Linked DNA regions of Rhinolophus ferrumequinum. The protein of the gene in region 2 purifies or fractionates together with the protein of the main gene of each other region. This does not show direct contact. Links are inferred from orthologs where the notes say so. Each region holds a gene or a part of one and is shown on either strand. Other genes may lie near its edges. The genes, in order: RNPS1 and TRA2B.

Region 1 (3,911 bases), on a different chromosome or scaffold from region 2:
GGTCATTAGTAAGATTACTTAAGAACTATGAATTCGTCATGTGCCCTATATTTGCCTGGGTGCTGCCTCAGGCAAATATATGAGGCAATTATAATTTTGCCTCATAATTCCAGTGAGGTTTTGTACACTTTGCTTGAGTTGTAAGCAAAGACTTCAGGATGTTAGTCTTACCTACTTCTCTCCCACCTTTCTCCATAGCCTTTAAGTAACCTGGACACCACACAGAAGTTGGGATTCTGTTTCTGTGTGTGTAGGGGTGCCCAAAATGCTGAATAATATTCTGACTCAACAAAGAGTGCCTGGCTTTGGACAATCAAATTGAGTGGAAGAGAAGAGAATACCACCCTTGCTCTTCTTTTCCAGGGCTGTAAAATCTTTAACGTGTTTTGCCTTAAAACAATAAGTTACTATACACACCAACCTGACAACACCAGATGAGGTTAGCGTCCTTGGACAATCAGTAAGTATAATTCAGTGGTTCTGCGAGTCTGGGGTCAACCTGCTTGAGTCAGCTTTACTGTGTGACCTTGGATAAGTCACTTAACCTTTCTGAGCCTCTATTTCTCACCAGTATTATGGTGACAATTACAGTTCCTACATCTCATAGTTAAAGAACATTAATCAAATTAACCCATGAAGAAGACTTGGCACCTAGTTAAGGCACCGTAAATGTTTGCTAACGTTAGAAGAAAGGGCCATTTCTCCACAGTTGGAGGCTCTTTCCCACATAAACCCTTGTCTCCAAAGTCACATATCTCTAAATACTCAACAGGGGTCCCTGGATGGCGTCCATTGGGATCACCTGAGCAGCACCATCCAACAGTGCCTAAGCTTCAAACATGTCCTAAAATCTTCTAGTAGCCACATTACAAAAAACATAAGTTAACAGTGACGTTAACACACTATACTAATAAGTTAACACACTATACTCCAAATATTATCTTTTCAACATGTAATAAGTATAAAAAATAAAATATTCAACCCCCTGCTCTCCAAGTCTTTTAAACACCTCATTTGGGTTAGGTGTATTTCAAGTGCTTGATAAGCCCTATGTGGCCAATGGCTACCTTCCTGAACTGCGTTGACCTAGAATTGACCAGATTCCAGGCCCCACCCGGGTCCTAAAGACCTGTCCCCATGTCCTTTGTGAAAACAAGCACTACCAGTTATTCTTAAACACACAGAAGATTAAGAACCACCGAGTAAACGAATGCTTTGCTGGATGTGGCCGAATGCTAGAAAGCAAAGGTTGAAGGTTTCTGTTCACACAAGTTCAGGTAACAGCACAGGACTTTGTTTACCTCCCCCATCCTCCGGAAAGGTGCGCGTCCAACAGCCAGAGAGAGGAGAAAACAATTAGTTAAATCTCGAGCAAATGGCGTTTCAGCTCAAACCTTCGGAGCACCTTCCCCATTTAAAAGTGTGTTTTAGGCACAATTCATGCAAAAAAAAAAATCAGAGAAAAAGCCACGTCTCTTCAACACTGATTTTAACTGTCCGGTATGCTCCCTTCTGAGCTCCATGATTTCAAGGGGCCGTATCTCCAAGGACTAGCACCGAGAACGGCATACAGGAGCCCGGTAAACGTTCCTGGAGTGAATGTTTGAATTAATAGCCCCGAAGGGAGGATCAGCCGGTCTTCCAGGTCACCCCACTAAGCAACTTCGCACCCAACGGCACGGGCCCCGCACGCGACCTAGCCAACCCCGTCCGCGTTCACTCACAACTCCCCAGTCCAGGCGCCGGGCCGCGAGCGCTTCCAGGGCAGGGCCCAGCGTTGCGGGCCTGGGTCTCCAGCCCGGCGAGAGGGCCTTGAGGGCTGAGGCCGCGCTCCCGGCAGCTCCGAGTCCCGCGGGCCCAACTCGAACCTTCGCAGAGCGGACGAAGCGAGGGCGCCCTTCCGCCCGCCGCGGCCCCGACCACTTCCGGGCCGCGGCCTCGGTACCTCCCACTCCGCCCACCCCGGGCCACACTCTTTCTTCTTGGACCCCGAGCTGCGCCGCCAGGCCGCTGTCCCCACCGCGGGACCGGGGAGCGCGTCGGATCCACGATGCACCCCACCGAGCCCGGCAGGCGCCCCCCCGAAGCTCGGATGGGGTTGGATTCCCACACTTACATCTTCCCGCCGCCCAGACCTCCTCCCGCTCTTCTTGGCCGCTGATGCCGGCGCCGCTCTGTCGTCAGGAAGAGGGAGCGGGAAGAGGCCGCCGCTCGGCGCGCAGCGATGACGTAATACGCCTTAGCCAATGGGCGCGAGCGCGCGGTGTTAAGGGCCGAGGCCGTTTGTGGCGAGCGGTGTAAGGGGCGCTTACTCCGTCTCCTTCTCTGGAGAGGTGCTTCCGACTGCGCGCCTCCTGGGGCCGGCAAATTAGCTGCTTGCTGGGGCCCGGGGTTCGCGCCGTGGGGGCAGCTCACGGGCCGGGACCGAGGGGGTTAACGCAGCCCCGCTCTTTGCCTTGCGCGTGCGCACTGGGCTCGCGGCGGGCCTGGCCGTAGTGTGGGCGGCGAGCCTCGTACCGGTTTGCTTCGCGCCCTGGGCCGCCGGTTGGTGGCAGAGGAGGGGTTCGCAGGCGCTGCGGCCTCTGCCGGCCGGCCGTGGGCACCCCTAGGGCGGAGGCGGCTCAGCGGGCCGGGCCGGTGTGGGGATGGGTTCCTGCGGTCTAAAACCACTCATGATGTGCGGAGTGACCGTGTCAACGTGGCTTCTGCGCTGGCGGAACTTGGCGGGGTGGATAAGGCGGGGCAGAGCGGCCGGCACCCACCGGGATCAAAAGGCAGTGTAGAAGACAAGATGCATACGGGGAAGCGTCGCCGAGTGGAAGGGCGCGCCGACAGAGGGAACAGCTGATGCAAAGACGCGGAGGCTCGTTGGAAGAAGCGAAGGGAGGCCGGTGCGGCCAGTGCGACGGCTCGCAGCAGCGGTGCCGGGGACGAGGAGAATGTGCAAGATACAGGCCGAGGCTTCATGCCCCGGCCGGTGGACGGTGGGCAGGGAGGCACTGTCCGAGCCTCCTGGCAAAGGCAGAAGGAGGGGTGAGAGGCCTGGGCCCAGGCGGGAAGCTGTCCAGTAAAACCCGGAGCTGAGAGGGCTAGGCTTTTGGGTTTTGTTCAACTCTGTGCCAACCCGCGTACCCCCTCCAGACCCCGCCCCCTTCCGTGCCTGGCAAGTGGACCTTGCTCCATGACTGTTAGTGGGAGGAAGAAGGGTGCACCCAGTCCCAGACCTTGTCAGAACTGGTAGGTGCAGCAAGGAAGAGAAGGGAATAGATCCAAGGTGCTATTTTGGTGGAAGGAACCTATGTGACTTGGAGGCAGATGTCAGCAGGAAGGACATGCTTAGTGACACATGGTGGATGGATGGTGCTGTGGACGCTCTCTGCAAGTCATTGCTCTCTGCTTCACTTGGTATTCTCAGCCAGTGGATGGTGACTCCTTTCCGTCCTCCAGTACCTCTGGCCCTGTCCAGGGGTGTCGTGTGCCCCTAACACCTCACTCACCCTGGTCTGAGGGCTGTCTGAGGAGTTGGGGTCAAGAGAAGCCTGGGAGGAGCAGCCTGCCCCTGAATCCCTTCCCCTGAGACACCAACATGTTTCTGGTGGTGGGTCAGCAGGCAGCATCAGTCTGGGTCAGGATTCTCCCTTTGGATTTAGATTTGAGGGGTGCAGGGGGGCCATTTAGAGCAAGTTAAATTCTCTGCATCACTGTCACATTTGCCAAGGCCAGGCATGGAGGGGTAAGCGGAACAGAAGGGCGGCCCTGTTCCTGCAATAGTGAAGGGGCCCAGAGGGTCAGCATTGGGGATGGGCTGGCCCTGGTTGTCCAGGTCGCACGTGCAGTTCTGTGAGGAGGCTGTGGCAGCATGTTGGAGCCCCACACGTCCTGGGCCAACCATCAGTGCAGGTCTGAAGGGC
Region 2 (3,911 bases):
AATGAAACTGTTCTAAAATTGTGGTGATGGTTGCACAATTCTGTGTATATAATAGAAACCATTTGAATTGCACACTTTAAATGGGAGTATTGCATGGTATATGAATTACATTTCAAAAAGCTCTTTTTGAAAGCCAAACGGATTTTTACCGCTACCAAAGTACCTCACCAGCCAGTTTCCCAGCCAGTTACTAGAAGGGAAACAACAGGTGCAGAGAGGTTTCGACTTCCAAATTTGAGCTCTTTCCACTGCAGGGGCACTAAGACACCAAGACAGTTGATCTAATAGCCGGGATGGCTAAGTCACCAACCAGCGGGGAGCCCTAGACAAAGAGATGATTCACATCCCAGGCTGGATAGAGCAGGATGGCAGATCTTCACACTACTCAGAAGGGTGCACAATTTAAAATTATGAGTTGTTTATTTCTGGAGTTTTCCATTTAATATTTTCAGTCTACAGTTGATCATTAACTGAAACCGTGGAAAGCGAAACCACAGATAAAGGGAGACTATTGTATACCATGCTGTTGTTTGATGGCAGAATTAATCTTCCCTCCTTGTGACATCACTATAGATGTGCATGCCTATAGCACTTAAAATCAAGTTTACAACTGTGTATTTAGAATAGAGATTGTGAACAGAGATTATGTGTAACTTCAGTGCATCAAGATCGGTCAAGTGCTTTGCTATTTAATAGGTGCTCAAATGAAGGTTTATTCAAGAAGAAAAGATCTATAACTATTCTAAATAAATGTAAAGCATAGAACCCAGCACATGGATATCGTTCCTCTCCAACCAAAACGCGCAAAAAAAGACAGAAATAAAGCGGAAAAAAGATGGGAGAAACTGAGGGCATCTCTTTCCCCCCCTTTCCCCTGCCCACGACAGTTTCCCAGGAAAGCTCCACAAGGGAATCAGGCATGACCAGTGACATCACTGCACCCCGCGGCGCTATCATTGCACCCCACCTCAACCACCCCACAGGCCAACCCACCAGGTCACTTTTCCGCTTCACAGAGATCCAGATGTGGGTGAGGCCGCGCGAAGCGCGGGGCCTTACGTCACATCCAGTTCTCAACGCGCCACTGCTGGAAAGGGAAAGCCGAGGGCTGAGGGGCGGAGCCAAGAAAGCGCGCGTTCTGGGAGGGGGCGGAGCCGGCTTAAGGATGCCACGTCACGTCCGGGAGCGTTAGAGCCCGTGTTGAGGCGGTGCGGAGCAGTTCGGTTACCAGCGGGTTGGAAACCAGTGTGTTCTGGGTGGCTGCGGCGGAACCTCTGTAAAGAAAGCAAGAGGTTGGCAGCTTCGATTGAAGCACGTCGAGCTGAGCGGCGGCAGCAGCTACGAGTCATGAGCGACAGCGGCGAGCAGAACTACGGCGAGCGGGTACGTAGAGGTGGTGCAGGGGGCAGCTGTGTGGTCCCAGCTTCTTGCGTCTCTTTCTAGGCCCGTCGGCCTCGGACCGGGAGACGGGCGATTTAGACTGAGAAGTCTGAGGCCGGGAGGATGGGAGTCGGTTTTTAAAAGCCTTTGTGGATAGTGTTTTTAGCCGTGAAGGAGACCACAGGTAGGTTTATGTGGCCGTGTACCCAAGTCGGCGGTTTTTTCCGTTATAGGGGGGATTAAAGATGGCCGCTGCGTCCCCTCGGTGTTGGGGGAGGGGAGCGGATCTTATTTCGCCGTTGCTCTCCTGCGAAGGCTCGCCGCAGCCATCTTGGGCTGGCGGGCTGGGCGCGCTGCCAGAGGCACAAAATGGCGGCGGAGCCGCGCGCCGACGCAGGCCAGGCCGCGCCTCGCAAGGCCGCGTGGGGCGGGTGCGGAAAAAACAGGCTACGTTGTTTGGGGCCTTTTACCCGATGTTTAGGTTAGGAAAGGGTCGTCCTGTGGGCCCCTAAAGGATGAAATCTAGTGTGTTCTTGGGACTTTTAGGCTGGGGAAAACTTAACTGAGGCCGACTAAATTCTAGGCCCGTTAGTATGAGGGGATTGTGCGTGGGCTTTATGTTAGGCCTAAGTCGAGTGCTTTTCTTTGATACTGAAAGGGCTTTCAAACCAAATAGTACCCAAATAAAATGGACCGCGAGGTCTCCATTTTAATCATTTTATGGAGTAGATACTTTTCCACTGGATTGTGTAGGAGAAATTGGCGGGCAACGATTTATAGCGCCGTTATTTCCTTTGTTTTGAGGTATTCTGATTCTGTGGACCACAACTAGTGCTTTTCCGTATTTTTAAGTCTCTATCTCCCAGATTGAGGAGTTCGGTGAGGGTTAATTAAATTTTAGGAATAAAAGTTCCCAGCGTGATGTAAAGCTTGGTTGCGGAGTGGGGGGTTCTACTGAAGATGCCACAGTATAAGGCTTGCCCCCAAGTCTTAGATATTTGAAGGTTAAGGAGAATTTGTTAGGGTGATAAAAAGCACCGTAGAACTTGATCGGAATAAGTTGGATTTTTTTTACAGTTTGTTAGGTTTTTCTTTTTAAGTCTCAATAATAGGTAAATATATCCAAATACCTTAGCAAACGCGTGTGAAACAGATTTGGGGGCGGTTTAAAAGTAAACTGTCTTACCTCTTCGTACATTAATGAACTTATTCTAACTTTGGAGCCAAATATGTTTAATTTGGTTTGAACTAATCAAGCCTCGCCTTTACATATTCAGATAAATACTGCCTTTTTACGTTTTTTCCCTTAAGACGATTATAATGTCACCAATGTGCGATTATTTTTTTAAGCTCTTGGCTATGTTACGGTAAGAAAGTTTGGATTGGGCTCACAAATTGTTACGGCTCTGACTTCTATTAATAGTTTCTACCAGTTGAATATACTGTGGAAACTAGTCACTGGTGGTTGGACCGGTAATGGAAAACAATTTTAAGTCCTCAGTTATTAAATAAAATTATTGGGTACTTTTGCACTATTTAGGGACTGCAAAATGACTGGCTTATGATTAGCGGCGCTCTCTATTGAATATACCCGAGTAAGTTATTTGTGTCGGTGCGCTTGTGGAGATGAAAAATTGCCCAAAGGAAAATAAATTAGTATATTTTACATTAAGGGAGGAAACAATGTAGGAATTAGGTCCTGGTTTGAGGCAGCTCAAGAGATGTCAAACCATTAAAAGCTTTTGAAGTGGTTGTATTTTCTTCTAGTAGGGTATATACATCCCAGTGTTTTTCACAATGCTGCTACATATAATAGCTATCAACTAAATTATTACAGAGTGAGAGAGAACTACAGAGTAACTTAAAACTACATATTAGAAACTAATAATTTTTTCTTATCTAAGAGTCTTGACTTCCTGGAAGAGATTTTCTAACCTGAAGTTGTGGGGTGCTTCCATTTGGTTTGGTGTTTGTTTTGTATGTTGATTGCTTTCAAACTAGCCTTTTGGAACCTGAAGTTGTTAGGATAGACCTAAAACACGTGATGGGTTAAAAAGAATGCTTGGCAAACCATAAAGGTCAATGGAAAAATTAAAATAAAATGCCATAAAAAGAGCTAGGTAGAACGGTCAGGCCTGATTGGCTAAAAATTTCCTTTTGGAAGTGCCTGAAAGCTGAAAAAGTTGCATTCAGGGCAGTAATGTTGCCCTGAATGCAACTGTAGCCTTGTAGCCTTCCTGGGGCCTGAAAAATTAACTTTTATTCCACTTGAGGCTCTCAAACATTCCAAACTGTTCACATGTCACTAATAGAAATCTAATCAGTTCAACTGTAATCTCCCCCTCATTTATCTAAATCTTTAATAATCCTGACGGACACACACCCACTGTGACTTTTTTTCTAATCCTTTAGAGGTTGGAAGTTGTTCCTTCCTAAACAGTGGTTGTGTGTGGGCAATAAATTAAGTTATCCTCATTTTGGTCACTCTTAGAACTGGTTTAGCGTGTCCCCTTGGCTGGTTTTAAATGCAT

The links.
Region 1: the proteins of TRA2B (region 2) and RNPS1 purify together in Homo sapiens (affinity purification with western blotting; 3 studies listed by BioGRID and IntAct, with this or other methods). This does not show direct contact. The link is inferred for Rhinolophus ferrumequinum from reciprocal best matches to the Homo sapiens genes TRA2B and RNPS1.

Annotation. Positions count from the first base shown.
Region 1 is NW_022680357.1:3,985,554-3,989,464, forward strand, and holds the start of RNPS1 (RNA-binding protein with serine-rich domain 1), read right to left. Parts: upstream 2,254-3,911; 5' UTR 2,119-2,253; coding exon of another isoform or gene 2,117-2,118; intron 2,026-2,116; exon of another isoform or gene 1,725-2,025; intron 1,312-1,724; exon of another isoform or gene 1,302-1,311; intron 1-1,301. UniProt on the Homo sapiens protein: Part of pre- and post-splicing multiprotein mRNP complexes. Auxiliary component of the splicing-dependent multiprotein exon junction complex (EJC) deposited at splice junction on mRNAs.
Region 2 is NC_046285.1:59,569,059-59,572,969, forward strand, and holds the start of TRA2B (transformer-2 protein homolog beta), read left to right. Parts: upstream 1-1,021; 5' UTR 1,022-1,347; coding exon 1,348-1,383; intron 1,384-3,911. UniProt on the Homo sapiens protein: Sequence-specific RNA-binding protein which participates in the control of pre-mRNA splicing. Can either activate or suppress exon inclusion. Acts additively with RBMX to promote exon 7 inclusion of the survival motor neuron SMN2.